4 linked regions of the Saccharomyces cerevisiae S288C genome follow. The gene in region 2 interacts genetically with the main gene of each other region. Each region holds a gene or a part of one and is shown on either strand. Other genes may lie near its edges. The genes, in order: RAD27, RAD52, RAD54 and RPN10.

What was found.
Region 1: mutations in RAD52 (region 2) and RAD27 are lethal when combined (synthetic lethality), as found in Saccharomyces cerevisiae (13 studies listed by BioGRID, with this or other methods).
Region 3: mutations in RAD52 (region 2) and RAD54 together harm fitness less than expected from each alone (positive genetic interaction), as found in Saccharomyces cerevisiae (9 studies listed by BioGRID, with this or other methods).
Region 4: mutations in RAD52 (region 2) and RPN10 together harm fitness more than expected from each alone (negative genetic interaction), as found in Saccharomyces cerevisiae (5 studies listed by BioGRID, with this or other methods).

What each region holds. Positions count from the first base shown.
Region 1 is NC_001143.9:222,890-230,658, reverse strand, and holds RAD27 (multifunctional nuclease RAD27), read left to right. Parts: upstream 1-4,783; coding exon 4,784-5,932; downstream 5,933-7,769. Other genes in the region: KTI12 (Kti12p), read left to right, coding at 779-1,720; DNA-binding protein ABF1, read right to left, coding at 1,894-4,089; DNA-(apurinic or apyrimidinic site) lyase APN1, read left to right, coding at 6,204-7,307; serine/threonine protein kinase PRR1, read left to right, coding at 7,759-7,769. UniProt on the Saccharomyces cerevisiae protein: Structure-specific nuclease with 5'-flap endonuclease and 5'-3' exonuclease activities involved in DNA replication and repair.
Region 2 is NC_001145.3:209,286-217,311, forward strand, and holds RAD52 (recombinase RAD52), read right to left. Parts: upstream 4,646-8,026; coding exon 3,230-4,645; downstream 1-3,229. Other genes in the region: SRC1 (Src1p), read left to right, coding at 240-2,159, 2,286-2,870; NDC1 (Ndc1p), read left to right, coding at 4,904-6,871; respiratory supercomplex assembly factor RCF1, read left to right, coding at 7,150-7,629. UniProt on the Saccharomyces cerevisiae protein: Involved in DNA double-strand break (DSB) repair and recombination. Promotes the annealing of complementary single-stranded DNA and by stimulation of the RAD51 recombinase.
Region 3 is NC_001139.9:190,678-199,870, forward strand, and holds RAD54 (DNA-dependent ATPase RAD54), read right to left. Parts: upstream 5,727-9,193; coding exon 3,030-5,726; downstream 1-3,029. Other genes in the region: CUP2 (Cup2p), read left to right, coding at 452-1,129; YRB30 (Yrb30p), read right to left, coding at 1,301-2,623; SUT1 (Sut1p), read left to right, coding at 7,461-8,360; YIP5 (Yip5p), read right to left, coding at 8,533-9,193. UniProt on the Saccharomyces cerevisiae protein: Plays an essential role in homologous recombination (HR) which is a major pathway for repairing DNA double-strand breaks (DSBs), single-stranded DNA (ssDNA) gaps, and stalled or collapsed replication forks.
Region 4 is NC_001140.6:497,102-504,383, reverse strand, and holds RPN10 (proteasome regulatory particle base subunit RPN10), read right to left. Parts: upstream 5,306-7,282; coding exon 4,499-5,305; downstream 1-4,498. Other genes in the region: SMN1 (Smn1p), read right to left, coding at 188-1,996; PPX1 (exopolyphosphatase), read left to right, coding at 3,241-4,434; NBL1 (borealin), read left to right, coding at 5,525-5,597, 5,665-5,813; AIM46 (Aim46p), read left to right, coding at 5,962-6,894; AIM18 (Aim18p), read left to right, coding at 7,104-7,282. UniProt on the Saccharomyces cerevisiae protein: Multiubiquitin binding protein.

The sequences.
Region 1 (7,769 bases), on a different chromosome or scaffold from region 2:
GCACTACGGTATACAGAATTACACAATTGATACTTATTCTCTCCTTCATTGTTGCTCTGTTTCCGTTGTTTAAACTTTATCCAAAAACTCTGTTTTCTGTTTATTGAACCCCTTGCTTTCGCAAGCAAGCCCGACATATACGAACAGAACTGGGGAGAGGGAGTCTTATGCTGTACAACTCATGTAACCCCCACTATCTCAGGAGTTATATTAAATCAAGGCACGCCAGTGCTGCCTCTCTTGGTACGACAAACAAGTTTTTCCCGATTCTAGGTATTGCATTACATAATATCAACCCTTTGTTGTTTTCTTTTGATTTTTGAAAAGAAATATCTCATACCAACCGGAAAGGAAAAAGGACACAATTTGGGAAAATAGGCAATTTATTATGTACACAAGTCATAACCAAGAAAAAAGTAAGGGTAAAACAAGCAATTACTGAACTTGTTTCATGAGACTCATATCCAGAAGCATATTTATATAAGGAAATATTAGTTGCAAATCATTATGTCATTCCTTTCGCACACCCGATATGCTAAAAACAGCATACATGCACACTGCGCTTGGCTTGGACATATTCTCTCTGCATATGATGGAAAAAAAATCTTTTTTTTTCTTTTTCTTTGACTTTTTGCCGTTTTGTCATCGTCATCGCGATGGAAAAAGAAATGAAGAATACTTGATGAACAGGTGAAACTTGAACAATAACGTATCAGAATGAGGGTAAAGGGACCTTGTAAAACTTTTGAAAAAACTAAACAGGCAATTTAGTAAGAAGATGCCACTGGTGCTTTTTACGGGATACCCATGTAGTGGTAAGACAACGCTTGCTAAACATTTGGTACAACTACTACAGTCCAAGATCGATGCAACCCCATCATTAAGTAAATATTCCATAACCTATCATTCAGATGAATCTTTAGGCATAAAACATTCAGATTATATAACTTCCCAAGATGAAAGAAAATTGAGGTCGGAGATCATCTCCGCAGTGAAAAGAGATCTATCTAAAAACAAGATAGTCATTGTAGACTCGTTGAATTATATCAAGGGTTTCCGGTATCAACTTCACTGCGAGGTGAAAAATTTGTCCACCACATTTTGTGTAATTCAAACACTGTGTCCACCAGAGACTATATTCGAGTGGAATAAGACTTCAAACCCGAACCCTTGGGAACCCGAGTTATTGAATCAATTGATTCAACGATACGAAGAGCCTAACTCAAGCAACCGATGGGACTCTCCACTCTTTGCTATTCTTACTCCTCAGGACAACATAACTGACTACATCGACGATATTTGTAAAGTAGTCTTTCAAACTTCCAAATCGGCTAAAAACAGTGGACACAATGATCCGTTGAGTAAGGGCTTACAAAAACCGAACTCAGCCACGGTACTAAAGCCTGCGTCTCAGTCCAATTTCATCCAGGTTCTCGACATCGAAACTAGTAAGATAATAAAAACCATAATGAACCACATCAAAAGCCTGACTTCTATTGGCGGGGTAAGTAACGGAACAAGAGTCATTGTTTCCGAAGGGATTACCGATATCAATGATGATGGTTGCTTCTTCGTAGACTTGCCCATTGGTAACGTCGTTACGTTGGCGCAATTGCAGAGATTGAAAAGGCAATTCATTAACTTCAACAAACTAAGAGATATAGATCAAGATAGGATCGGTCCGCTTTTCGCTGATTATCTTAACAAAAACTTGAATTGAGATATACATGTGATTAATATCAGAAGGTAAATGGCAAGACGAAATTTGCTTGTTTATAATACAAAAAAACATACATAAGATATAATATATATTTCAATAGAAAAGAAAAAGTATAGAAAAGTGAATAAACAAAAGAAACATGAGAAAAATAGCTCGTCTTCTCAACTGGGTATCTATTGACCTCTTAATTCTGGTTGAATGTTTTCATCAGAAAGGTCTTCTTCATCATCGGCTTTCCCTATTAGTCCAGCAACATCTTCTTCATCGTGATGAGGTTGGCTATGATGGTTATTATGATGAGTTGTGTTCTTATTATACTGCGATTCTACATCCACGTCCACCATTACATCGTCTACGTCATCATCATTATTCTGGTGTAGATTCTCTACCTCTTTCAAATGCGATGACAGTAACCTTAACTGTTCCGCCACTTCATGTGGTAGTTTGTCGTCTTCATTTCTCTCTTCCAGTGTGATATCTGACAAATGCTGTCTTTTGGACTTGTGAGCATCTTCTGAATCCATATCGTTGATCAAGTTTTCATCTACCACGTTTCTCGACGAATTGTTATGGCCATCACCATTCTTGTCATCAATGGACCTCTTATAAGAATTGATCTTGTCTATGGCTAACTGAGCAGTTTCACGAGCTTCTTGAGCGTCTACTTCAGCCAAGGTTGGGTGGACATTTTCATTACCGCCATCGTTTGATTCATCTAGGCCAACCATGGACACGTCTGAATGAGTTATTTGATCTGGCTTGCTCCATTTATTGACGCTTGGCATCTTCTTGGGTTGATACCGGTGACTAGAGGTTTTATCTAGCACACTTTCCATTAAATTTGAGGCGTCATTATTATTGTTGCCGTTATTATCGTCATTACTGTCATTCTTGTTATTATTCACATTTTTGGTTGTGTTCGATGAGGTACCCGCACTTGATATTTCCTGATGTTTGGCGTAGTCGATAGAGTTACTTCTCAAGTTCGTGCCAGAAAGCTCACCATCGTTGTTATTGTTGTTATTGGAAGATGAAGAAGGTTGTAAATCATTATACTCGCCCATTTTTTTCTTTTTCAAAACAAATCTTGCTTTATACGTCGTTATACGTCTGGCTATTTGGGAAAGTAACCTTTTTTCGAAATCTTCGGCGGTTAATCCATATCTTTGCATTAAAATGTCTAAAAGACCGGACTCCTCCACGTAATGAGAAACTTTAAATTTACTCACTGTATGGTTAGAATTATTGTAAGAGCTTTCTAGTATTTGATCAAACTTTAAATCGTTTTGTAAAATCTTTGGAATCTTAGTTAGGATAAATTTACCCAGTGACAAGTTATCTTCTAGTGGGTGACTATGATAGGGCTCAATTTTGGTAACGACAAATGGGCCCGGTATATCATCGGTAGCAGAATTGAAGACGTCTAAATTCATAGACGTGTCTCGTATGGAGGATGGTGAGTGGGAGGAAATGCCGTGGCTACCGACATTGTTGTTATTGATATTGCTGTTATTGTTGTGATCGTTATTAGTATTATTATCTTGGCCATCATTGTTGTTAGTGGCATCATCGTCTTTTCCATCGTGCTTATTGTTTGATTGAGAATCTACATTTGCGACGGCATTGGCAATGGCAACGTTGATGTCTTCATCGTTCACTACGTCAGAATAGTTTTTCGTCATTTGGGTATGGACGTCATCCTCCTCGTTGTGACGGTGGTTACCGCTGTCATTACCATGAGTAGGACCGCTCTCGTCGTCCAATCCCCGGTCAATAGAGGCCTTATTTATCGAATCATCTTCAGTGTCGTTCTTGATAGTAACACCTTGCTGTTTAAAAATGTTGTTGGCATCAGCATCATCGTCATTGTTCCCATTCACCTCATTGCTTCTCGACTCCACTTTGTCATTGGTGTCGTCCGGATGAGTGTTCGCCAGATGGTATTCAAGATCATCAGTAACGAAGTCAAGTTTACTGTCATTGCTAACCTTATTATTACTGCCATTGTTATTATCATTGTCCTCGTTGTTCATGTTGTTGCTATGATGATGAATATGATCAGGAGTACCCGGAGGGTTGGTATTATTATTTGCAGAAGGAGATGAGGTTTCTGAGGATGCAGCATTGCCAGCATAGCTTAGCAAGACTTTAAATGGACAGTTTTTCAAATGACAGGCAAATGTAAAATGTTTGTTCCTATGCGAATTCTTTAAAATAATAGGGCAACGCGTCTGAAATTCGTACTCATTAATTACATCATACCAAGCACCCAAGGTGGGAAATTTTTTGCCTCCATGGGCTCCAATGGCCAGGTCTTTATTAATTATAGGGTGCTTGTATTCATAATAATTCACGACTAATTTGTCCATCCTTGTGAAATTGCAAATATGGTGATTTGAAACGTTTCCTAGTGCAGCAGGATCACAGATAACGTGTAAAGGGCTTAGCAGTTGATAATCCTCTCTAGTTGAGATCTAAACAAAATGCTGTCACTAACCGTAGTATTAAATGACACACTTTGGTGACTTTCGTTAATGGGGATGTGGTAGTGGCCATTGCCAATAAACAAAAAGAACAGGGAAAGAAGTAGAAAGTGATATAAGTTTGCTTGCCACTTTTCGTTTTTCACGAAAAAAACAGGCGAAAAAAAATGCTAGACTAGTACCCGGCTGAATCACACCTCGTTAACAGTGACTTTCGGTGACAGATACCCGATTGGGCACCCGGCTGGTAAGTTATGATAGAAAGCCAACGCTGTACTATTGGCTTAGCTATGGCAATATTTTGATTATCAACTAGTTTTATTAACGTTATAATTAGTGTAACCAGTTTTTCATCTATTTCATTTATTTCATTTATTTACTTTAATTGCAGATCCCCCTAACGCGTTTAAAGCTTTTATTCACTAGCTTATGTATTTTTTATAGGAAACGCGACGCGTAACATCGCGCAAATGAAGGTTTTGATGTATTATAATGAGGTATTCTTCCTTATATACATCGATGAAAAGCGTTGACAGCATACATTGGAAAGAAATAGGAAACGGACACCGGAAGAAAAAATATGGGTATTAAAGGTTTGAATGCAATTATATCGGAACATGTTCCCTCTGCTATCAGGAAAAGCGATATCAAGAGCTTTTTTGGCAGAAAGGTTGCCATCGATGCCTCTATGTCTCTATATCAGTTTTTAATTGCTGTAAGACAGCAAGACGGTGGGCAGTTGACCAATGAAGCCGGTGAAACAACGTCACACTTGATGGGTATGTTTTATAGGACACTGAGAATGATTGATAACGGTATCAAGCCTTGTTATGTCTTCGACGGCAAACCTCCAGATTTGAAATCTCATGAGTTGACAAAGCGGTCTTCAAGAAGGGTGGAAACAGAAAAAAAACTGGCAGAGGCAACAACAGAATTGGAAAAGATGAAGCAAGAAAGAAGATTGGTGAAGGTCTCAAAAGAGCATAATGAAGAAGCCCAAAAATTACTAGGACTAATGGGAATCCCATATATAATAGCGCCAACGGAAGCTGAGGCTCAATGTGCTGAGTTGGCAAAGAAGGGAAAGGTGTATGCCGCAGCAAGTGAAGATATGGACACACTCTGTTATAGAACACCCTTCTTGTTGAGACATTTGACTTTTTCAGAGGCCAAGAAGGAACCGATTCACGAAATAGATACTGAATTAGTTTTGAGAGGACTCGACTTGACAATAGAGCAGTTTGTTGATCTTTGCATAATGCTTGGTTGTGACTACTGTGAAAGCATCAGAGGTGTTGGTCCAGTGACAGCCTTAAAATTGATAAAAACGCATGGATCCATCGAAAAAATCGTGGAGTTTATTGAATCTGGGGAGTCAAACAACACTAAATGGAAAATCCCAGAAGACTGGCCTTACAAACAAGCAAGAATGCTGTTTCTTGACCCTGAAGTTATAGATGGTAACGAAATAAACTTGAAATGGTCGCCACCAAAGGAGAAGGAACTTATCGAGTATTTATGTGATGATAAGAAATTCAGTGAAGAAAGAGTTAAATCTGGTATATCAAGATTGAAAAAAGGCTTGAAATCTGGCATTCAGGGTAGGTTAGATGGGTTCTTCCAAGTGGTGCCTAAGACAAAGGAACAGCTGGCTGCTGCGGCGAAAAGAGCACAAGAAAATAAAAAATTGAACAAAAATAAGAATAAAGTCACAAAGGGAAGAAGATGAGGGGGTTCTTTTTCCACTTTCTTCTTTTGGTCCTTCACCTTGGCATATATGTAACATAGATATTTGTATACACGAACTTTTTTCATCTAATACTTCTCTTTTTTTGCCAGTTTTTCTGGGAACTTGAACGTGGAATTTTTCATTCTTACCTGGTTTCTTTTTCTTCATTTCTTTACATGTTGGAAATCATTGTAAATATAAGATGACAAACTCCGAATAAGAAACACAAAACGCAACATTAATAAGCTTTTGGCATATCGGAACCATCGTAATGCCTTCGACACCTAGCTTTGTTAGATCTGCTGTCTCGAAATACAAATTTGGTGCGCACATGTCAGGTGCCGGTGGAATTTCTAATAGTGTAACTAATGCATTTAACACTGGCTGTAATTCGTTTGCCATGTTTTTAAAATCTCCAAGAAAGTGGGTTTCTCCGCAGTATACACAGGAGGAAATAGATAAATTTAAGAAAAACTGTGCAACTTACAATTATAACCCATTGACGGACGTCTTACCGCATGGCCAATACTTTATTAATTTGGCTAATCCGGATAGGGAAAAGGCAGAAAAGAGTTATGAGTCATTCATGGACGATCTGAACAGGTGTGAGCAATTAGGGATAGGCCTGTATAACTTACATCCAGGTTCTACTTTGAAAGGAGACCATCAGTTGCAGTTAAAACAACTAGCCTCATATTTGAACAAAGCAATTAAGGAAACGAAATTTGTTAAAATTGTATTAGAAAATATGGCTGGTACTGGAAATTTAGTAGGAAGTTCTCTGGTAGATTTGAAGGAGGTTATTGGAATGATTGAAGATAAATCAAGAATCGGCGTTTGCATAGATACATGCCATACATTTGCAGCAGGCTACGATATCAGCACCACTGAAACGTTTAACAATTTTTGGAAAGAGTTCAATGATGTAATAGGGTTCAAATATCTAAGTGCTGTTCACTTAAATGATTCCAAGGCTCCTTTAGGAGCAAATAGAGATTTGCATGAACGCTTGGGTCAAGGTTATTTGGGTATAGATGTGTTTAGAATGATCGCGCACTCTGAATACCTGCAGGGTATCCCTATTGTCTTGGAAACTCCATACGAAAATGATGAAGGCTATGGTAATGAAATCAAACTTATGGAGTGGTTGGAATCAAAGAGTGAGAGCGAATTGTTAGAAGACAAGGAGTATAAAGAAAAAAATGATACGCTGCAGAAATTAGGTGCTAAATCGCGTAAGGAACAGTTAGACAAGTTTGAGGTTAAACAAAAGAAGCGAGCTGGGGGCACCAAGAGGAAGAAAGCCACTGCAGAGCCAAGCGATAATGATATCTTGTCACAAATGACAAAGAAGAGGAAGACTAAGAAAGAATAATGAGAAGCGAGAAGAATTTTAAATACGTAATCAATTTTTGTAGATTATCTCAACGTACGTAACTAAATGCTACCCTTCGTCATCCAAGATGCTGTTGCCCATTTCATAGAAACTACTTACTTGGTTTATAGATGTTTCGCGTTGCGTTACAGAATAAGGCAGCCTTTTTTTTTTTTAGATTTTCATTTTTCACATACTGATGGATTAGCAGACGAAAAGGGTAAAGTTAAATACATTCCAGTAAATGAACTAAGAAGGCTGAGCACACCATCCTCTTATGGAACGTTATTCCTAAGCATAGAAAGTTTTTTACTTGTAATCTTCAACGCGGGGTGTGTTCTTTATCTTTTTTTTCTTTTTTACACAATTAGACAAGTATATTTTGAGATAGTAATCACATCTACGCTTCGAATTCATCCATACCCACAGCAGCTGTTAGGTTATACCGACAATGGATGAATA
Region 2 (8,026 bases):
TTTAAAGAGCCCTCAAAATTACTGTTTTAGGAAGCCCCCTTTGTTTTTGTTTTGGTTTCAATTTGTGGTGGCTAATCTGGACATCGATCTACTTGTATAGCTGTCAATATACTATGCGGAATACATGGAAGAGAAATAGTCCTCAGTCATTATTAATAGTAGACTGAGACCATACGGAGTGAACGTAGAGGCCAGAACAACAAACAGTAGAACGGTAGCAGTACTCAGTTAGTGCCGCGATGAATAGTGACTTGGAGTATTTAGAGGACGGTTTTGATCCGAATTCAATGAAAGTTGCGACTTTGAGGAGGATATTGGTAGAAAATAATGTCGATTTCCCATCTAATGCTAGGAAAAATGCGCTGGTGGGGCTGTTCGATGAAAAGGTTAAACCGCAGATCCCGCAGTTACGGAAAATGTATCTGAACGTTCGGCCCAGCGATGAAGGTATTGTGAAAATGGACCGTCCCTCATCTTCCCCATCTATAGCTTCCCCTCGTAGAAGTAGACGAGCTCGCAGGGAGAAATCTGCTTCCCCCATGGCCAAACAGTTTAAGAAGAATAGAATACTGGATGATGTAAGTAATGATGATGATGATGATGATGATGATGATGATGACAATGATAAAAAAGACGATCCTTTAATTGTACCTAGTGGAACGGATACCGATGAAGTGGACGATGAAGAGGATGATGTGATAACATCAAGCTCCAACAAATCAGACACCAATGATTTCCAGCAAAATTCCGATACTCGTAAGAAAAGGAAAGACCCTGATTCTGACGACTGGTCTGAATCTAATTCAAAGGAAAATAAAATCGATAATAAGCATTTGAACCTCCTATCATCAGATTCAGAAATTGAACAGGATTACCAGAAGGCAAAAAAGCGTAAGACGAGTGATTTGAACCAAGAGCATGGAAATGGCTCTGCCATTTTAGGAAAACTTTCCGTCAAAACACCAATAAAGAACACAAATAGAAAGCCAGTAAGCATGGATAATTTTAACGATTCGTTGACTTCAAGCGGTACGGAAAATGATCCATTTGTACCGAACATACGACACAATCCAAAAGAGCTCGGAACTGCCAATGGAACAGGCCATAGCACACCCTTGAGTAAGTTAAAAGTTTCTGCCTCATTTGCGGATAAATTGCCTCAAAAGGAGGTACCATCTACAATACTGGTTCCAGAAGTGGAACAGCAAGAACCTTCTCAGAGTGAAAGAACACCGTCTTTGTTTTCGTCCGAAGGCTCTGGCTCAGAGTCGGAAGCACCCTTGCTTCCAGAGATCACCACGCCAGGTCCTCATCAGCCTATGGGTAATACCAGCAATAATGTGGTCGAAATGATAGATACAGATAGTAGTAACTTGGTATCGGATGAAGATGAAGTTTTAGTGCCTACAAGGATCGAGACTCCCCAATTACCCACAGAGAAAGACGTCGAAAAGTGTGAAGCAAGAGTGCAAGAACTTCAAGAGGAAGTAAATGAGCAATTAGAGCATGAAAATGGGAGTGAATTTGATGTTAAGCAAGGATCTGGGAAGGTCGGGAACAGGCATAAGTTCAAAAGAGCACTCAAATTTTTGAGCAAATCATTACTGGCGCTATTTTTATTTTGCATATTCATTGTTATTCCTCTCTTATTTGGCCTCTGGTATAGAGAGCAAAGACTGCTCATAGGTTACTGTGGGCATGAAGTACCATCCCATCGAGTTAGTGGCAATTCCTTCGAGTTTATTCAAAAACTGGATAATTTGTTGCAGGACTACAGACCGAAATGTATCCCTTGTCCACCCAATGGTATTTGTTATCCTTATTTGAAACTTAAATGTAAGCCAGATTACAAGTTAGCACCATCTAGACTTGACTTTTTGGAAATTATTCCTGCACAAGGCAAATGTGTTAAAGACGACAAAAAACAGCAGTTAGTTTCCGAAGTGGTTGAAAAATCTTTAGAGTTTCTGAGAGCCAAAAATGCACAAATTTCATGCGGTGACGGAAAAGACGACATCGAGAGTGGTATGACGGAAGATGCCCTCTATCAAATATTTAATGAGGCTAGAGCTCCTTGGATTCGCGACGATGAATTTGAGGACCTGTGGATCCAAGTTATCAAAGATTTAACTGAAGAACCAGAAATATTATGGAGGCAAGTGAGTACAATTTATTATCTTACAAAAATTATTAAACCTGTTATTATATGATAACAGTTTTAATTTTTTTTGAATTTTTTTTTGTTTTTGATTTATTTACTAACATCTTTTCCTAATTTTCTCTAGTTATCACCCACTGACAACAACATTGGCGGAAATTCCAACAACATCATTAAAACCAATGACGTTCCGAGACAGAAGAGACATCTTCCAGAAAAATTCATCTCCAAGACGAGGAATTTTCGGTCGACGTCCAAGAAATACATTGGAATGAAGTGTCGATTTGAAAGAGAAATCTACCAAACGTATAAAAAATTTCAAAGGCCAATATGGCTAATGTTTTTACTGATAGTCATTAGTAAAGTAATCGAGATCAAGCTGAAGAATTATTATAGAAAGAAGGCAAGAATTGAAGAACTCGTTACTCAAACCATGGAAAAATTGAAATTCCAAAAGATTAAATCAATGTCCGATCCGAAAGAAAACGCGTATTTGAGCATAGTTCAATTGCGTGACATCTTTCTTTCTGATATTGTCGATCTGAAATACAAAAATCAATTATGGTCAGAAGTGGTAAAATATTTAGAGCATAATAACAGTAATATTAAATCGAACTTAACTGAAATTCGAGGTGAAATAATGAAATGTTGGGAATGGATAGGTCCGATGGAACTCAATGAACCTAAGGATTCCGCTGAAAACAAAATATAACCCACAAAATGAAACTCAAACGTAGTTTTCTCTTCTCAAACTTAATGATCTATTGTTTTTCCGAGTTGCCATATTTGTATAGTTTATTCTATTTATACGGTTATCCTAATATCTGTTATATAATTCTTTATGTAATACTTTTGTAAAGTTATAATGAATCTAATCCTGAAAATGACTTGTAAAATAATAAGAATTTTTTATTCGATTTAAAGTAAATATTAATACGACACATGGAGGAAAGAAAAACTAGACGATATAGGAAGAAATACAAATAAAATCAGAATTGAAAGAGTAACTAGAGGATTTTGGAGTAATAAATAATGATGCAAATTTTTTATTTGTTTCGGCCAGGAAGCGTTTCAAGTAGGCTTGCGTGCATGCAGGGGATTGATCTTTGGTCTTCCAACTTCTCTTCGTGTCGATCTTTGTTGCGGAACGGCTGGCACTGCACCATTTCCATTAGGATGTACTACCTTAGAAGGCGGCGCAAACCGTGGAGCAGCTGCAGGCGGAAAAGCTGTAGCGTTCGTTTTAATTGGTGTGGTTTCACGCGGTACTTGATTCCCAGCCCCTTCTAGCATATGAGGCCCCAGTTCTTTATCATTGTTCTTCATGCTCAATTGTTTTCCCTTTGGTGCAAATTTTTCATAGACAGAATCCCTCGCGGTGGTCATCGTTTTGTCTTTTAGCACACTCGCTGGAATATGCTTGGACGTAGTCTGATCAACGGTGTGCCTAATGGATTGTGCCTGGTATTTGGGATCAAAAATGCTCTCTTCACCAATATAACGTTCATTTTGTACGGAAGTTGCAGCCTTAGCTGTAACAAAGGTGATTTGTTCTGCCTCTGGGTTTGAGCTAGCAGTTGGGCTTTGCTTAGCTACAACGGGATCCTTCTCTGTCGTTAAAACATTACTGTTTGTGTTGCCCATATTTATCAAGTCGTCGTCTTGAAAATCATCGCTAAACATAAGAGAATCATCGAGAAGGTCATCTTGATCCTGTTTGGAAGCATCGAGAGATTTGAGATCAGTATCTTTATTACTGCTGTTTTTACTGTTAGCCTCAGCAGGTGCGGCCATCATTGGGGTACCTCGACTTACTGTATTTTCTATTTTCACCAGGTTCTTCGTCGAGTCGGGATTGGTATTTGTAACTTTAGTCAATTGCCTTCTTTTATTCGGGTATTGTTGTTGTTCTTGATTTTCATGCAAAGTATTCGTTCTTGAGCTTTCGCTGATTTCATCCGTTGGCCTAAACAAATTGTTTTCGTCAAAATCTGGCGGATCGAACTTCACCTTATCGATCTTTGCCAGAAAATCTTTATCGTAAAGACAATTTCCTAGAGCATTACCAAACCCTCTCAAAGATCTTTTCAAGGCATCCGTAACGGCAGATTTCTTGGCCCTTTCGAAAGCGGCAGGTTTCCGTCTTTCGTTCTCCACGGTACCATACCCAATATCTTCCCTATAAGTCCCGCTAGTCAACGTAACACGAACAATTGCAGTACACCCTATGCTAAACTTTCCCTGTCGCTCATCCAAAAAATCGATAACTACACTTTTTACCTCCGTAGACCAGCCATTATATCCAAAGATTTGATTAGCAAGATTAATTACTCTCCAACCTTCGATGTATGCAATCCTGCTTGTTCCAAACCCAACTCTCTTGGAGATATACTCAGGTCCTAATTTCTTGTCCAATTTGGTCTGTATGTCCTCGGAATGGTTACCGAAAACGGGCTTCTTCTCATCCATATCCATAATTTCATTCATCAACAACACACCAAAGCCACCAGAACCTTCAGCAGTTCTTGGCAACCTCCTTGTTTGCATTTGTTGATTCTCAGTGGCAAAATAGCTTAAAAACGCCATTCGATACCGGTCGCGTAACCCGCCCGCCGCTATATTTTTCGTCTTTTCTTAACAGACTAAAGAATATAATAACATCGAGAATCACTAACGGGAAGAGCAGACTCTTTGGCGATGAGTAAGTGTGATTGAGAAGACGAAAGGACATTACAGGGCAAGCAGATGATACAGACGCCAAGGGAGTTGTTGAATCCACGGTACACGTACCATACCATCTTTAGCGACGTGTGCAAGACCCGATTCAACCATTTAGTTACGAGGTTGTTTTTCATATGTTCTATTATCCAAACTGTGGTGATTTCACTGCTGGCGTTGCCACACTCACCGTTATGGGAACTGGCATTGGCATTTATTCCCAATATTTTAGCTCTTAACCTAGTTTCCCTTTTGATCATTGTGACAAGAAAAAATTACATGCATGTAAAGAATTTTGGGTTCGCTAATTCACTTACTTTCATTCTAGGCCAATTGTTATCAGTAAAGTTTCTTGTATACCAGGGAGTCTATAGCATGGGCAGCATCCTTTTATCATTCGTACTGGGTGTGGTTTTCGGACGTGGCGGATCTGGATGGAAGCCATACTATAAGCTGTTTATTTGGCTAGTCGTTCCCACGATTTACAACCTACAACATCATGTCACTGACGCTGACAAATTGTCGTTCAACTGCGAAAACTTTTTCCAGGCCCCACAAGACTACGTATTAGAGCGTGTCAAGAGGATTATGGAGAAGTCAGTCATTCTAAGTGTAATCAGCATGTTCGTATTACCAATCTTTACCACAGTATTTTTTTCCAGGCAAAAATCGGGATTATTTGATTCATTTACGAATGGCGTGCTAGCTGTCACAAATTTACTAATAATCTCCTGCATTATCTTCATCACTTTCGAATTCATAAATATAGCATTTGACGCACATATGTCCATAGGTTGTCTGCACAAGGGCAAGCTAATTTCGAATTTGTCGTCGACGCCGATGGAAACCCTGCTTAGTGGGCTTTCTGCAGACAAGCCATTTACTAGGTTGACTGCCTACCAGGAACTAGCGTATAGGGCCACTTCACTGGATCCATCATTGCGAGCACCAATATATCACTCCAAGTTCAGAAGCAGTAGTGGTAATACTTGGTCATTAATCCTCAATGAATGCTTGAAGACCATTCAGATAAACAATGAAAAGGTTGTGCAGTACCTAAGATCAGTACAAGATCTTGGGGGCTCTGCAACTGCTAGACATAAAAAAAAAGTAGAAAATCTAGATTATATGTATGAGAACGGGAAACTAACAAGCGCCAACGAAAGACTCTTTGGGAACCGACCCTCTATGATGGCGCCATTACGGGATAACGGCTTATTAGATGAATCACCAAACAGGCTGAGGGTAAGAACTGACGATAGTGTATTGCTTAACCGCGGAAACAAGAAAAGGCATAGGTCCTCGTATTACGACAACGATTTAGATGAAACGACACAAACTTTTAACGGCTCTATTTTCACCCACGAAACAACATTTATGACCGCTATGCGTCTGATGTTAAAAAAACTGAAAAATTCTATAATGTCGTTTATTTTCCCTTCCTACGCAGAAAGACAATCATCTGATGAAAGCGACAATTACAGACTATTACCAAATGGCTCCAACAAAGCCCAAATCTCGATAATTGACATATGGTCCATTTCCAAGAAAAGGCAAGCTGAGAAGCTGGTTCCATTGCCCATATGCCACGCAAATAGTGTGGTAGCACTGACAGGACTGCTGATCCGATCAAAGACAGAAGATCCAAAAGGCGGTATCATTGCATCCGTTGGGGATATTCTTAAGACTTTGGAGAGGTCCATCTGTGCACTGGGTGAATTTGCCGATTGGGATCCGGAATCGATGGCATACACTGCCTTCCAAACACAAAGGACAGCCCAAGATAGAGTACAACAAGACAGTGAAGACGAAGATAGCATGAAAGACACTACTGACATGATCAGTGTTCTTTATCAGCTGTCCACCAGTGCTTTTATGGAGATTGTACTTGAATACAATGTTGCTCTGAACGACGTATATTTGGATGCAGACGTGGCCAAGTTGGCGAACTGGTTTCTAGAAGTGTACGCCTCAGGCAACCCTAATGCTACGTAATACAATTCAACCGAGGAGCACCCCTCCTCCCATTTCATGTAAGATAAATACAATAATAAAAATTGGAATACCGCACAAATGCTTTAGTAGAGGCCTAATATGAGCAAAAAGAGCAAAAAGCTACCTTTATCGTTTCCGGGTAGCGAATCAAGGAGGGCCCTTTTATGCTTCAAGAATAATAGTAAAGAAAAGTATAGAGAAGAGGAAGCAATGCTTCCTATCGGAATTAATTCAATTCCTGGTACTAGAAGCGATAACATCACAGTTATACGTTCAAGATGTCACGCATGCCATCTAGTTTCGATGTTACGGAGAGGGATTTGGATGATATGACCTTTGGCGAAAGGATTATATACCATTGTAAGAAACAGCCATTGGTACCCATTGGGTGCTTGCTGACTACAGGAGCTGTCATTCTGGCTGCTCAAAATGTTCGTCTTGGTAATAAATGGAAAGCTCAGTACTACTTCCGTTGGCGTGTGGGTCTACAAGCGGCCACACTAGTCGCACTAGTCGCAGGTTCATTTATCTATGGGACTTCTGGTAAGGAACTGAAGGCGAAGGAGGAACAATTGAAGGAGAAAGCCAAGATGAGAGAAAAGTTATGGATCCAAGAGCTGGAGAGAAGGGAGGAAGAAACGGAGGCAAGGAGAAAAAGAGCCGAATTGGCAAGAATGAAGACCCTTGAGAACGAAGAGGAAATCAAGAACTTAGAAAAGGAACTAAGCGACCTGGAAAATAAGCTTGGAAAGAAGTAATTTGGCTCTTCGATTTGCTGTAAATAAATTATGATGAGAGACAAAAGAATGAACAGCTAATTTCGACTGTAATGAAGAAATGTAATAAAAAAATTCATGATGCTATGTCCAGTATTCAAGAAAAATAATTACAAAATAACAGCGTACATATGAATATTCTTTGTTTTTATCTTGTATAACTATCACTTAAAACATATTTATATCGATAGGTAAATGCTATATCAATCGCTCTATTTACTTGATTTTTAATATGTGGGTTTTTTTTTGCTTGACACATACGTAACGGTAATTGCCAGCTAACGATCGGTACAATTTTCAGAAAAATTGAAACAGAGAGAATCCACCAAATATTCAATTGCAAGGTGACGTACTTCAGATAAACACTTTATTGTACCAT
Region 3 (9,193 bases), on a different chromosome or scaffold from region 2:
CCTAGGGAACAAGATCTCGATATAACGATAGGTAGGGTCCACACTGTTAACAAAAAAAGTACTTCTTTAAATAGAGAATCTTGTCTTGATGTAACAAAATGAAAAAAAAAAAAAATGCAACTAGAATGTAGAATACAAAAGTTTAACGATCGGCTTTGCTGTTAAGTGGTTATCTAGGGATGAGCTGAACGTGCAATTGATACCAACCGATCCTTGCTAGGAACGCAACTCTTTTCACCCACCTTCCACCACTACGATCGTGAAAGAATATTTGCTAAGAAAATCGCCAAAACGAGGCGAAGTCGCCAGGGTGCGCGGGCACGCAGGGTAAGAGCCGCAAGGCCTGGTTCGGTAAGTATTAAGCTGTGGACGAAATAGCAGTAGCCATGGCGATGTAATTTATTAGACGGCGGCTTGATAAAAGAGGACTGATAATCAGTGTATTCACAGAATGGTCGTAATTAACGGGGTCAAATATGCCTGTGAAACGTGTATCAGGGGTCACAGGGCGGCGCAGTGTACTCACACTGATGGTCCGCTACAGATGATCAGACGCAAGGGAAGACCATCGACCACATGTGGCCATTGTAAAGAGCTGAGAAGAACCAAGAACTTCAACCCATCCGGTGGGTGCATGTGTGCCTCTGCACGACGGCCAGCTGTTGGCAGCAAGGAAGATGAAACACGATGTCGTTGTGATGAGGGTGAACCTTGTAAATGTCATACCAAGAGGAAAAGCAGCCGGAAATCAAAGGGAGGGTCATGCCACAGAAGGGCAAATGATGAAGCAGCGCATGTCAATGGTCTCGGTATTGCAGATCTGGACGTTCTTTTGGGCCTAAATGGTCGCTCGTCGGATGTAGACATGACAACCACATTGCCGAGTTTGAAGCCACCTCTGCAAAACGGAGAAATTAAGGCCGACAGCATTGACAATCTTGATTTGGCTTCCCTCGATCCGCTTGAGCAAAGCCCTAGTATATCTATGGAACCTGTTAGTATCAATGAAACAGGAAGCGCATATACAACTACGAACACAGCACTAAACGATATTGACATTCCATTCTCCATCAATGAGTTGAACGAGCTATACAAACAAGTATCTTCGCATAACTCACATTCACAATAATGCATCTGGACATCTATATAAATATACATATACATATATTGGCGGTTGTTTGTTCTCCCGGCAAGCTGGCAGTCGGGCCGAGATTCGGATAAATTTTTCCATTCGTATACATATACATAGATATATACAATTATAAAATTTGTCCAAGGCTGCACAGGATACGTAACCATCCTAAAGTTTTAGGTTTTTTAACTTTTTTTCTGTCTCTTCAATTGTCGAATTGCTTATTCTATCCTTTCTGGAGTTCGTATTTTCATCGTTCAAATATATAGATAACCTTTCATCACTCACTTCCAATATACTTTTCTGATCGTTACTTTGTAAGGACGTCAGCCGAATGATGTACTCCAGTAGTGTGATCGACGAATCCTTGTCCTCCAATTTATTTTCTTCTTCTTCTTCTTCCTTTCGTTCTTCTCCGTCTTTTCCTTCCTCTTCGTCCTCCTCTTCATCTTCCTCTTCATCTTCCTCTATCGCTTCATATCCGCTTACCGCATACCAAGTAATGTCATCGAGTAATCCCTTGTCTCCTTCACTGCTCTCATTTTCTTTGTCATCGCTCCGGTCAATCTTCAATACCAACACTGGAGAATCCTGTTCTTCTAATCGGAGAAGCTTACCGGAAACACTGAAAAACAGCTTCTTAATATGGTTCAGATCTATGGCAAGTTCCTGTGGTGTGTCTTCTTTGTCATCATCCTCATGATATCTACCGTCATTGAAGTCTTGTTCTATTTTCATAAAATAATCATACTTTCTGCCTGTAGAGTTCAATCTATATATCCTTGCTTTTGCACGTTTCATATCCTCTTTCCAAACAATTCCTGATTGCCCATTGTTTTCTGAAGTTAGGTTATAGAAAATAGAGAATAGTGTAACCTCAAATGTAGGCCCCACTTGAACTTTTAGAATCTCCTTGTCACCTGTTCCTTTCTCATTACTCTTCATTGCCTTTTCATACTTTCTATTGTTCTCGCTAACGAAATCGGAGGCTTTTAATAATAAACCAGGAGAAAGTTGATATGGGAGTGCGCTGTTCAAGTTGGCACCAGAAGTGGTTAAAGAAAGATTAATGAATGGAGTGATTTCTTCGATCCTCAATAGCAAGTCCTTTATATAGTTTTCTACCGCTTTAATAGCTTCATTCTGTGTTTTTGCGCTCCTGGAACCCTCAACTTTCTGCGTCATTTCGTTGATCTTCTCATCAAACCTATCAATCTCTTCTTTTAAATCCTTGGTTAACCTCAGAGTGATTTGCAAATTCGTGTTTCCCCTCGCCGCTACCAGCTTTATTAGGTCAATTGCACTGGATACAATAGCCATGCGGCTTTCCAGTTTAAATTTCAGTTGATCTATTCTTCTAGCATCATCCTTAGGAATCTGGACGACAAAGTTCGTTATTGTCTTTAGCGCATATGTGGATGCTATCGATATTCCGGATTTTATAGCAAATGTAACGGCTTGTGAACCTGCTTTGGCAAGAATTTCATCCATTCTCTTCAGATATTGGTGTTAGGTAATAGTTAAAGTTAATCCTTCTGAGAGTGTGAAACTGTATCAGATTTTTATTTCCCTGACAGCGTGAGATTTTCTTGCCATAATCTTTTTTGGCAGTTTCGGCTGGCACTTTACCACGATAAAACTGAAGATAATGAAAAATTTAAAAGCTAGCACAAGTATAATATGACATCGCTCAACTTTTTTTACCCTTAAGTTATACGATTATACTTTTTTGATTGAAATACATAGAGATATTTACCAATTTGGCCCCAATTTTCAATTGTTTATTACGTCTAAATATATATAACCATGCCCATCATTTAAAATAAATATGTAATGACCCCCCGACGATCGAATTCTACTTTTTGTTTTTGTTTTATAAGTACATGTATGTAAGAGATCAATGTGAAATATATTGAAATGCAAAACTGATATCATTGTAATGATGCTCGTTTTTTAGTAGATGATCATTTGTTTTTTCCAATGCGTCATGGTTCAAATGATTCCAAGTTGTCGCATCACCATATAACATTGCAGGGGCTCTCTTTAATTGTTTACCCTGAGCATTACAACGTTTACAATGGTATGTTTCGTGTGTTTCACATATCGTATTCTCATTTTTTTGAAACAACTGTCTTAAATTGTCAGAACTAAACAACCTTTCAACGTCTTCTTTCGCATCGACCACGCATGAACTCAAACTCATTTTCATAGATTGTCTTTGAAAGATTTTTTCCTCTATGGTACCAGTCGATATGAATCTGTAAATGAAACAATCCTTTTTTTGACCGTCTCTCCAAACACGTGCCAAAGCTTGTTGATCAGCAGCAGGATTCCAATCCGGATCCATCAAAATTAATCGATTTGCACCAATCAAATTGATACCACACCCACCTGCTTTAGAACTTAAGAGGAAGATGAACTCTTGGCCTTCAGGATCGTTGAACCTATCCACCAATTTTTGTCTTTTGTTAATTGACATTGTACCATCCAACCGTACAGCACTGTAGTGCTTATATCTACACATTTTTTCAATGAGGTCCAAGGTTTGGGTATAGTTGGAGATCAAAACAATCTTATCATCGGATTCGGTCTTTATCTTATGGAGAAATCTTTCCAAAATGGAAAATTTAGCTGAATATTTTGTTTGTACGTCCCTGGCTTTTGAACCCGGCATATTATAATCGTCAGGTAGTTCCAAATCATCTTCATCGTCAAATTCATCTTCAAAATTCAAGAGATTAGGGTGATTACATAGCTTCTTTAAAATACCAATAGCCCTCAGGGGCTGAGACCCACCAACACCTTTTACTACTTTTTTCACTTCTCTTGACTTAATTAATTTATTGTAGAGCTCGTTCTGCAACGGCTTCAAGTTTACGAAAATAACGTGCTCATACTTGCAAGGCAAATATTTGGCCAAAATATCGTTAGTACGACGGATAATAAATTTGGAGACAATGGTAGATAGCTTCTGTAATTGCGCCTCGCCCTTTGTGATTTCTTTATCAGTAGCATCAGCATCACGCCCTCGCAAAATTGGATTCTCAAAATTTTTCCTAAATTCTGCTCTGGAACCTAATAAGCCAGGATTCGAAAAACTCAGTAGAGCAAAATATTCGGAAAGATCGTTTTGAATGGGTGTACCAGATAATATAACTCTTCTAGGACAACTGATGCTATCCAAAGCTGTGAATGTTAAAGAGTCACCGTTTTTCAAACGGTGCCCTTCATCTGCCAGCATTAAACCCACATTGCAGTTTTTCAATTGATCAACATTTCGACGTAATGTTTCATACGATATGATTAAAACGGGCTTAACAATATTTCTTCCCTGTGCCTGAGCCCAGGCATGAATAGCTTGCGAAACTGTTGTATTACCACCACCCATTGAAGATTTTTTCCCATCAACCGCTAACGGAGTTAGAGTATTGGGACCCAACCATTTTATCAATTCATTAGCCCAGTTGTTGACTAAAGAAGATGGACAAACAATGATACATTTGTCGATAAGTCTTTTACCCTGCGGGCCCTGTCTTAATAATGTCCACATAAGTGCTATACACTGCAATGTCTTACCCAGCCCCATTTCATCGGCCATGATGCAGCCGTAGGCCCCTCTATTGTTTTGTTCAGTCTTTTGAGATTCAGTAAGTGCCTTCTCGTCGCTCTTTAAGGGATCTTCGCTTGAAGTGTTGAACGCCTCAGCTTCTAAGTAATCTTTCATGACAAGCCCTGTGACACAACGGTATAAGAATCTCACCCCTTCGACTTGATGGGGTCTTAAAATCTTGGCCAGTTTTGGATCAATAACCACAGGGACACTAGCAAATTTCTTCTTGTTTTCCGCAGAGTTTTCCGAATCACCGAGTAGCTCACGTAACGGTTTGTTTCTCACACCATTTGTCATCAAAGCTGGATGGCGTCCTATTCTTTGTGTGGGTCTTTCTTCCTGGCTATTCTTTTCCTTGTTAATATTATCCTTTTCCTGTGTGCTTTTGATCATTTTCTTTGATTCTTCTTCCTTGTTATCCATAGATGTGTCATGGACAATCATTTCACCGTCAACGGACGGGTCATAAAGCACTATGGCAAATTCGTCTGTAGGGTCATGTAGAGGTCGAGGTTCTGGAGTAATTTTTTTTTTCATTCCTAACGTTAATGGCAGACTGTGTCTTTGTACATATCCCTTGATTGGCACAGTGAAAGATCTTCTCAAAGTGTACTGGATATGACTCAGTCTTGTCGGATCCTTGGCCAACCTTTGAGCACTAAGAGCATCCTTCCGTCGTTTAGTCAACTGAGAAAAACTTATGTCTTGGCTGTTGTACTCTGCTTCGTCCGCATTTATATCCAAGCCGGAATAACATACAGTCGCTGATCTTTTCCTCAAGCTCCTTCCTCCTACGATATTATCAGACCCGGTGGCGATTCTACCAGCAGCGGGCGGGATGTGCGTGTTCTTGTACGGGACCCTGAACGGTTTCGTTAGTCGGTTCACCGAGTCTTGTACGTTAATAGGCCTAGGTACCAGTCTCGGCCGTTCACCGGCTCCTATTCCATTTGGTGGTCTGTCTGGTAATCTGCGTCTTGCCATCAGTTATAAGGAAATATATATGGTACCTTGAAATAGAGCTAAGTTCTGAGCGTTTGATTTTTCTATACTTTCGTAGCAGCTTTAGTGAAGAAAGAGAAAAGTTGCTGCTCTAGATTTTGTATCGGCTATTACGTCAAGTGAGAAGAGTTTTGGCCTTCGCTTCAGTTAGATCTTCTATTATTTCCTTTTTTTTCTTTTTGTTTGTAATTGTTTTTTATTTTTTTTTTTGCGCGAAACTTTGCTATATTGGGTAACGCGTAAAATACTTTTTATTATTGCAGTAAGGCGGAAGGGTCTTCCCCTTTGCATGTTAAATAGCATACATGGCACCACTCAGGTCCAGAACGTGACACATCTTTGCACCACTTGTGTATTTTCAAGATGTTAAATTTTTGATACATAAGCTTTATCATGCAGGTGCAGTAGACGCATTTGCGTACGCGTTGAGTAGTAATGCAAGAACGCAACAATTTCACGCTTTCTACTTAAGAGGACAGATCTTCGAGCAGAATATTTTTCTCCTAGCGCGGCTTTCAGAATCTTCTTACCATCTGCAGGACATCACATGCAAGCACATGAAGCTGGAACCACGCACCATTAAATGTAAACCTACAGACATAGCTAGCACAGAAATGCTACTTTGGAAACCTCGGTTGCATCGGCTGACCTCGGCTGTTCAGCAACGTGAGCTGGTTGTTGTTATTGTTCATAGAATCCTGTATTTTACCAGTGTAGCTTTGTCCGCCCACCCCACGCTTTTGGCCACTAGTATGTACGTATATGCGTGGGCTCTATATCATTGAAAACGAATTTTCCACGCAAAACCCACTTCACACCATAAAGGCCTTATGACGATGTACATTCTTCCCCTCCCCCCTCCTCCCGAAGGAACCCTTATAGTGATCCTAATACGGTATAACGTAAACCGGAGTTGTCAGCAGAGAGAAGCGAATAATATGTTTTGCGTGGGGTTCCCACGAGCGGCAGGAACCGTAGCGCATTGAAAAATGAATCATCGATCATCTTTGGGTTTCAAGGGTTCGGACTTCGCCAAAGGTCCGAATACTTCCACCAGTATTTCTCTTTTTCCCTTTCCAGTCTCGTTCTTCGCCGAATCCCCGCTTTCCCATCATGATCGTTTCTCTGTTTCTCTCTTTCCGGAACAGGCTCTTTTCTGACCGCCAGTTCGTGCGGTTAGTTCTGTGGATCTTGCAGGCACTTGCCGGTTTAGCCACACTTCTCCGCTGTTTGTGTCGAATTTCCCTCGAGTATGAGAAAGACTGGACCACAAAAGAGGGAAAAAAAATGGGCCGATTTTAAACCATTATAGGTCACAGAAAAACTTTCTTACGACGGTGGTTTTTCAACAATACGTTTCTTGAGCAGGAGAGGAGCTTTGTTCTTTTGCCTTAGTTTTTTTTGTCTTTTTTTGTGAGCCATCCTGCTGTCGTTGCCATACATGACAGATCCACATTTGCCTTGTTGTTTTTAGTTTTTGTTCCTTGCACCATATAAAAGCGTCACTTGTATTTTCCTTACTCATCTAAACTTCAAGCTTTTTCGTCATAGTAGGTTTGTGATCTCGGCAAAGAAAAAAAATTTTTTTGCCGATCTTTCTGGTTATTGTTTCAGGTATCTTTATGAAAGTATTAGTGTACGCACTGGATTTTTGGTAGGTCTATAAAAGTGCAACACATAATCTAAATCATTGAGGTCATCGTATGTCAAAAGAAGATGTCCACAAGCATTACAGTAAGAAATAGAGATCGATCGCTACCACCGCTATTGCTCCCCAATGTTTCCCTGCTAGAAAAAGATATACGGCGTAAAGGCACCCAAAATGTGGGCATCACCGATCCAGAACTCTTGTCGACCACTTGGACGAGGAAGCGGGCTTTTCCGACTGACGAGCTTTTAGGAGGCTATAAGAGATTAAAGCCTGCTGCCGCTGACAGTAATGAGTGCGCTATTGGTATTGCCACGGTGACGCCGCCGCCAACGCTCCCCGTAAGTGCGATTGTTCCCCCTCCACAAAATTACACTCCACCATTGTTTGAGTATCATCCTCATGCTCTTGCTTCCATGGTCAATGAAGACGCTAATGCGTCATGCACTCAAATGTCTATAATTTCGCGCTCAACGAGCAACTCGACAACCTCCTCTGCCACATCTACTAGTTCAATTTCCAAGAGACAAAGAAGTGGCCCAAGTTGTGACAAATGTCGTTTGAAAAAAATAAAATGTAATGCGAAAATTGAGATTTTGCTTCAAGACGATACTATAATGCCAATGATCTCGAACAAGTTGCGGTACGTCTTGACTCCTGACGATATTCGGCTATATCGAGGCACGCTGTTGCGGAATATTGCCATACCGGATGATGTCATTGAGGGTACAGGCTCACGCAAGTTGATTAAGCATATTGATAAGTTGGTTTTGCTCACACCTTGTTTACCATGCATTAAGAAAAAGCATTCTTCTTCTTCCACTAATTTCCCAAAAAATGATAAATGTACTTTTTCAAAAGGCTTTACCAGAGCTGACATAAACATTTCATCCAAAATCTCCTTAAAATTTAAGGATAAAACCATTTACGACATAACCTATGATGACTATAAAAGCATTGATTTTTAGACAAAGGCATCTCTAATGAATAGCATCACAAAACTTGCATTTAGCATTAACATATATGGATATATATGTACACACAGAAAACGTATAAACACTCATGTATAACCCTACATAATAAGAGTATACAATGATACTAGTCATAAAAAGTATTGTGTGTATAGACGTGCGCATATTTTCAAAATATTATAAACCTGAACAATAGACAGAATAAAGTATGCAGCGCAACGACAACGATGATGGACAGCGAAAATTTCCCGTTCGATTGTGTCTCCGTATTATTATTACTCGATATTTGAGAATTCAAGAAATAAGACGACTGTGCCCACCCAAGAGCCACAATTGCCCATTGAATTGCTTGAACAGTCCTCAGGCGCTTGGACATATCCAATATATTCAATATAACACAAACGGGTATCCAGATCAAGTTAGCGTACCCGTAAACGGAAATCAATTCAGGAACACTTTTGAAGCTTCTATTGCGCTCCGAGTGCTCATCTCTATTCAATACTTGCATGGTAATAAATGGTACGCCGAACGTGTACCCGTAAAATAGCCAAATAGAATGCAGTAGCTTCTTAAACTGACTGGCCCTGTCGATGTCCTCACCAGTCTTGACGCCCTCAATTACGTCACTGATAATAAAATTTAACCCCCTACTCATGGTAAAATTGATCATTACCACCGTGGCAGTGATCCATACAGCACCGTATAAATCAGTGTTATCTTCGTTACTTTCGGAATTATGATCGTTTCTAAACGTCAGTACCGCGGACAATCTCTTTTTGAACTGCGTCAAATCGATCTGGAAGTATTTAGAATAGTAGTTTATCAATCCT
Region 4 (7,282 bases), on a different chromosome or scaffold from region 2:
ATATACATATATCAATTATAAAAAAAGTGACAAGCATTATACATACAATTTTTCTTTTTTTTTCATGAAATGTGTAACCAGTGTGCCTCATTAGAGACAGGGACGAGAGAGCAAAGGTGCAATTTCCGCTGCAAATGAACTTTTTTAAACGATGTGCATAAATAAATAAAAAAAATGGCAGAATACTCTAAAATTGAGAAAAGTAATCCCGTAATAACTTTTTGGTTGAATCACCACCATAATGGGAGCAGTCATTGGTGGTCAAGTTCTCCATACGTAATCCTAAATCATTTATGATAGAATTTACGGCGTTTAATATATCGAGTTCCATAAAGGAATAGAAGATAACATGAACCATCTTCGACGGATCAGCTTCCTCTTCTTGCACTTTCTTCACCTCTTTACATTGCACTACATTGGGGATATCGTATTCTCTTTGTGAATTGTGAGGTGTGTCATCACCATGACACCCGAAATCGTCTTCTGTGGTGTAGCCTTCGCTTAAATTTGGATTATTGATGAAGGGACACTTCTGAAAACCGCCAAAATGCTGTTTGTGATGAGACGATGATGGTATTCCTAATGAGGCAATGACAGGGCCCTTGTTCAAATAGGTTTCCACCCTGGAGGCAACGACCAATGGAACTGTGATGAAGCGCCAATCATTATTGAATGGCATCACTATATACTCAGTATCCTTTGTAAATGGGCCTTTGTAAAGATCGTACCTGACAGAGCCAGTGTTAATCAAAATGAAACGACTCATCGAAGGTTCATAGTTTTTGGGAGGAATTAAATTGGGTAAAATCTTATGCGTGATCAAATGATAAAGATTCTCTTCGGAGTTTAATGGCCTTGTTGAAACGTAGTAAGTTTGAGGAATGTACCCCAGTTTCTCGTTCAAATTTAGTTCATGGCGCAGATCATTCACCAAACGAGAAATAGTTTTACCCTTTTTCGTTGAGACTGGAACATTCGAGTCATGCCCTAGTTTGCTCAAATGGTATTTGAAAGCTTCCTTGTTAAAGTCAATATACCTTCTTGAGAAAATAGGACTTTCGGCGTCCACAGGGTCAGTCATATTAATTGACAAGAATCCCACAGTTTCCGCAAATCTACCACTTTGTAAACAAGTAGATTTTGAGTCCAGCTGTACAAAATCCCTGATATGAGTGTGCCCTCCAAAATATTGTATAACAGTATTTGGGTAGTATTTCCTTATTAGAGCATGAATTTTGTGCATTTCACGCTCTGTAGGGTCAGTGGCAGGCAAATGACCAAAGACAATAATTAGGTCGATTTCCTCCTCTCTGTTTGTCTCAACCATATTTTGGAACCAGCTTTTTTGAGTTATTTCTTCCAATGGTGGTGTTACGATGGCTCTGTTATTTGCTCTTTGAAAACTAAACAAAAATGATAATGCCAGGACTCTTTGTTTCATTATGGGAGTCTCGAATGTAATGTATTTATTCCCGAAAGGAACCCTTGTTCCGTCATCTTCAATAAATTCTACGTTGCTGCAAACATATTTGTCTTTGAATTTTGAGGACTGAGAAGTTCCTCTATACTCTAGTATGGCACTTTCAGCTGTATATAGCTCATGATTACCTAACGTTAAAAGATCGTAATCCATCATGTTGAATATCTCCGAGCTTCGTAGGCCGGGGGGCCAAGTAGCATCACTCAAACCATTACCGTCTCGTTTGTCGCCAGTGTCGATGACTATTACGTCTCTGGACTGTCGTAAAATTTTTTCTCTAAGTATATCTACAAATGCAACGAAATCTCCCCAGTCAGCATCATAGTCGTTTTGTGATAGATGGGACCCCAACCAGCCATGAGTATCGGTTGTATGGATAAAATTTATATCCCCTATATGGATATCTCTTAATGGTACATCCTGCGACGGCGCTAAAACTGCCTGTTGTTGTTGATACGGCTTTGCAAAGATTAATCCTGTAAGAGCAACTAAACAGTGTACAAGCTTTAGTATCATTTTACACTGTTGCGCACACCTTTATTGCATTCACTCTCTTTGTTATTGCTGTAGTTCTTGTTGACGGCTTGAGGGGAAATAAGCTTATCGGCTTTTGCAATTGGCGGCTAGTTGGCGAAAGAGCGACTGATCGATAAGGACACTAAAGTAAAAAATAATATTAAAGATATACTGTAGAAATGTTTCATTATGGTTGTAATAATAATTTTACGTCATGCAATGGTTCAGATAGAAAGTTCGAGTTTGCTCTGGAACACAATTGTTTGTTTTCCTGCTTTCAAGTTAGTGCCATCTACTCTCTAACTACGGACGCCTTTACCGAAACCTATCTAGACAAATGTGTCTTTCTTGGAATAATATGAGCGTATATATGATAACGTTCGGGTGAACCTAATGCCTTGGTTCCTTACTCTATTTTGATCACTTCCTTTTTCGTTCGTTTATACATTTTGTTTCTTTTTACCAATATTCAACTTCTGAACACATAGATTTTAATTAAGATACAATTTGGCGAACTTAATTTGCAAACGATTTTACATGTAAGAAATTGTTGTACTGAAATCTTGATGTTAAAAAGTGTATGACTTTTACAACCTTTAGCAAGTATAATGGTTTGTGAAAAGAACCGTAAAATATAATCGTCATCTTAATAAGTTGCTAATGAATGATCACTGAAATTTCTACAGCAACAAAATTTATAACTCAAGTACAGTCGTGTTTTGCTTTCACTACGATCAATAGTATTATTATTACCGATGATTCCACTGTTAGTGTTATTATATTCAAGAGTGTACACTTCTCGCTAAGTAATGAAGAAATTTGCACATCTCATGTGTACACTCATTATACAAGATCACTTTCAACAAGCATTGAGTCACTAGAAAATTACAAATTATTTTCCCAGGAGGTGTAAAATGGCATATGTTTCTGCTGTCCTTGAAAAAAGTATGGAATAACCAGAAGCTTTGATAGAAAACGCCGAGGATAATACTCTGTGTAAAGCTCTAACCTTCATTCATTTTGTCACATTATCCACCTACTTGAATTCTAATTTAGAATACGAGTCGAAATAGTCTCGAAGAATAACTCACAACCTTTTTCCTATTATCTGTATGCTATACATGCCGCTGATTTTTCATTTTTTTCACTTTTAAGAGTAGAAAAAAGAAACGAAGTGTACATAATTAACTAAAGCCACTTGAAACAAATAATCAAAAAGTTCAAAACACCGATTGTTAAGAAAGATGTCGCCTTTGAGAAAGACGGTTCCTGAATTTTTGGCACACTTAAAATCACTGCCAATTTCAAAAATTGCAAGCAACGATGTGTTAACAATATGTGTTGGTAACGAGTCAGCAGATATGGACTCAATTGCTAGTGCAATCACTTATTCGTACTGCCAATACATATATAATGAAGGTACTTACTCGGAGGAGAAAAAGAAAGGAAGCTTTATTGTCCCAATTATCGACATTCCTAGAGAAGACCTCAGTTTAAGAAGAGACGTAATGTATGTCCTAGAAAAACTGAAAATTAAGGAGGAGGAATTATTCTTCATTGAAGATTTAAAGAGCTTGAAGCAAAATGTCTCCCAGGGTACTGAATTAAACTCTTACTTGGTAGATAATAACGATACACCAAAGAATTTGAAAAATTATATAGATAACGTCGTTGGCATTATAGACCACCATTTTGACTTGCAAAAACATTTGGATGCTGAACCTCGGATTGTAAAAGTGTCCGGCAGTTGCTCATCGCTGGTTTTTAACTACTGGTATGAAAAATTGCAAGGTGACCGTGAAGTGGTGATGAACATTGCACCACTTTTGATGGGGGCCATCTTAATAGACACTTCAAATATGAGGCGCAAAGTCGAGGAAAGTGATAAATTAGCTATCGAGAGATGCCAAGCTGTTCTTAGTGGTGCGGTTAATGAAGTGTCTGCGCAAGGTTTAGAGGACAGCAGTGAGTTTTATAAAGAGATAAAATCAAGAAAGAACGATATTAAAGGATTTTCGGTAAGCGATATTCTAAAGAAGGACTACAAACAATTCAATTTCCAAGGAAAGGGACACAAAGGGTTAGAGATTGGTCTTTCATCAATAGTAAAAAGAATGTCTTGGCTATTCAATGAACACGGTGGTGAAGCAGATTTCGTCAACCAATGCAGAAGATTTCAGGCGGAGAGGGGGCTCGATGTATTGGTTCTGTTGACTTCATGGAGGAAAGCTGGTGATTCACACAGAGAATTGGTCATATTGGGAGACTCTAACGTGGTACGTGAACTCATTGAAAGGGTTAGCGACAAGCTCCAACTTCAATTATTTGGGGGCAATCTTGATGGAGGTGTGGCGATGTTTAAGCAACTGAACGTCGAGGCCACCAGAAAGCAAGTCGTCCCCTATTTAGAGGAAGCGTACTCAAACCTGGAAGAGTGAAGGGAGATGTTATATATGCTTTATTTGGTTTATATATGACCCATATAGATATTTTTGTACACTACTATTTGTCTTGGTGTTGTTCAGGCTGTTCAGACTGCTCAGGCTGATCTTGTTGTTGTTGCTGCTGTCTTAACCTTTCCTGTCTTTGCTGCTCTTCTTCCATAGACAGACGCAAGGCCATTGCCAGTTCTGGGTCCATTGATGGGTCTACCCCGAAGTCCATAAATGTGCCATTGGCATCGGAATCACCGCCAGACCCACCAAAGGCGCCCATACCGGAGGATCCTTCTTCGAGAATTATGGGTGAAGATGCGATGTTCTCGTACAGCAGTCTGGGGCCAGGCGTCACAGTAAGCAAATGACTAGTTTCTTCTTGAGGGTTGTTCACTGCAGCTATGAACTCATCCAAAAGCTCCGTGTTCTGTTCAATCTCTCCAAAATTGATGATGTCCACGGCAACATTATTCTTTTTCAGTGTTTTTGCCAATCTGATCAATTCGTCTCGAGAATCACTTATTGGGCTACACACAAATGCCACAATCCTTTGATGTTGGACCTTATTCTGGCGATGCTTCAAAGTCAGCTGAGCGATCTGCAACGCAGTGGCCATATGCAGCTTACCCTCGATCTGCGTGTCGTGTAGTCCAGCAAGAATCTTCCCAAACTCGGCGGTAAACGTAGATAACACCCTGGGGTTGGCGCCAGCACCAGAGATAAGACCCACTGTATTCTCAGGATTGCTGTTTCTCTTGGCTTGAAATATGAACTCTACCGAGTCGATCTGGGCTTCAAACCTTGTCCTAGGAAAGTCGCCATTGCGAGAGTACTCTGAATTATCAATCACTAACACTGTAGCTTCCAATACCATTGTGCGGTTACTGCTGAGTTATTTATTGACTTTTCCCTTCTTTCTTTACGCTTTAAAAGTCTGATATAAGTGTGTATTTAGTTGTAAATTCCGGTGGCGAAAACCCGCCTGGCGGAAATAACCCGGCAGCTATAATGCCATATAACTTCAAGAGAATACAATTGTAAACAAGAAGTGGCAACAACATCAGCAAAAGGGCAGCTGCCGCACTCGGTTACGATGATACCGGCTCTCACTCCCGAAGAACGGCAGAAGTTGCGCAGCGCAATACTACATCGAATGCAGCTGGAACGTATGTCACCTCACCGCAACACTCTACCCCCAACCTTCACCCGCACTAATTACTAACACAACCTCAGTGGAAACAACAGAAAAACTGATCGAAAATATTAAAGAGGAGACGTTAAAGAAACTAAATCTGCTCCAGCAGCCTGATGCAACATCAGCGCCTCAATCAAAGGAACTAATCAGAGAGGTGCTTGAACAGGAAGGACGCCGTATAGAATGATTAGTTCGTATAATGGACCCTTTCTCGGTATTCGCAATGATGCACCTATTACTAATCAGCGGCCGATTTGTTGGTATTAAAGCAGCGTGTGGTTACATCCCCTTGTTGAATACATGTCTACTTAGCAGAAGGCCAGGTATATGGAAACATGCGTTTAATCAGTAAAGTTTTGGTGAAAACAAATTGCCTAGAGGTAGGTATGAGGAGGGCCCCACAATGGTATTCTCACTACTCTACTACAGCGGGCAATGCTCGTGTGAACAAGAAGGGCAGCAAAGTAGTGCCTGTGTTAACAGGGTTAGCACTGGCATCCATATTCGCGAAGAAATGGTATGACGATTCCCAGATCAAAAAGGCGGATGCCACCAGCGTTGCAGTGGACGCATCCATCTCTGCGTTCCCTAAGAAGATGGGCCCCCCACAGTGGCCCTTCTCCACGCAATATGAGCTGATTGGTAAGGGTGTACGTTGTGTCTCATCGATCACTTTCAAAGCATATGGTCTGGGCATATATGTGGCCGCTGAAGACAAACATCTGGTCTCTGAAGTACTGGACTCAAAGTTCCTGTCTCAGGCGTTCATCGACACTGCGGCACCCCCATCACCGGAAAACTCACATCAGGATAATTTGCGTGCGGCTTTGAACGATCCTGCTAAGGCCCCTATCCTGATTAATAACCTCTTAGACAGCGGAATCAGACTAATGTCCAAGAATACTCCGATAAAAGCAGGTTCCTTCAAGTTATTGATGGACGGCACCAAAAAGAGCGTCCTAAAGAACCCAGATTCTCAGTCTCAAGACAAAGACCGGCTGGAAGCTGGATTCCAAGAATTGCATGACTGTTTCAGGAGCGTAAAAGGACTTGTGGCTCGAGATGATGATTTTTTCATTGAGCTGAATAAGGACTGCTCTATGAATTTGTCTTACTACGCAAGAAAGAAGGATGAATTTGTGATATTGGGCACAGTGAAGGAACCCCTTATTGGAAAGCTCTTATTTGCCCACTACCTAGCTGCTGTGGATCCTCCTTCTCCGGAGGCTAGGAAGGAAGTAATCGATGCACTCGTCTCTCTATCTTAGGACACTTTCGCCGACTTCTACATACAATTACATAATACATACGCTGTTCCAAAAGCTGCACATATACTCTAATGATGTTTTTTTGAGTTTCCTTTCGACTCAATTTTTCTAGGAGGGACCCCTCAAAATGTTTACAATGCTATTCGGTTTTGACAAGAAAAAATCAATTCAAAACTCTTACGGCGTTACAACCGCGATAGAATCCCTTCATGGACAGAGGAAGGTGCGCCAATATGCTAAAATCACTCCAGCGAACACTAGCTAAATGTCAGAAATCTCCATCAACCAACCATTGGCAATGTTTCAAAAGAAATTTTACTAGTATACGAGCCACTAAATACCCTGGGCGTTCTAATTCGACGTTCCACTATTGGCCCTGGTTTGCGGC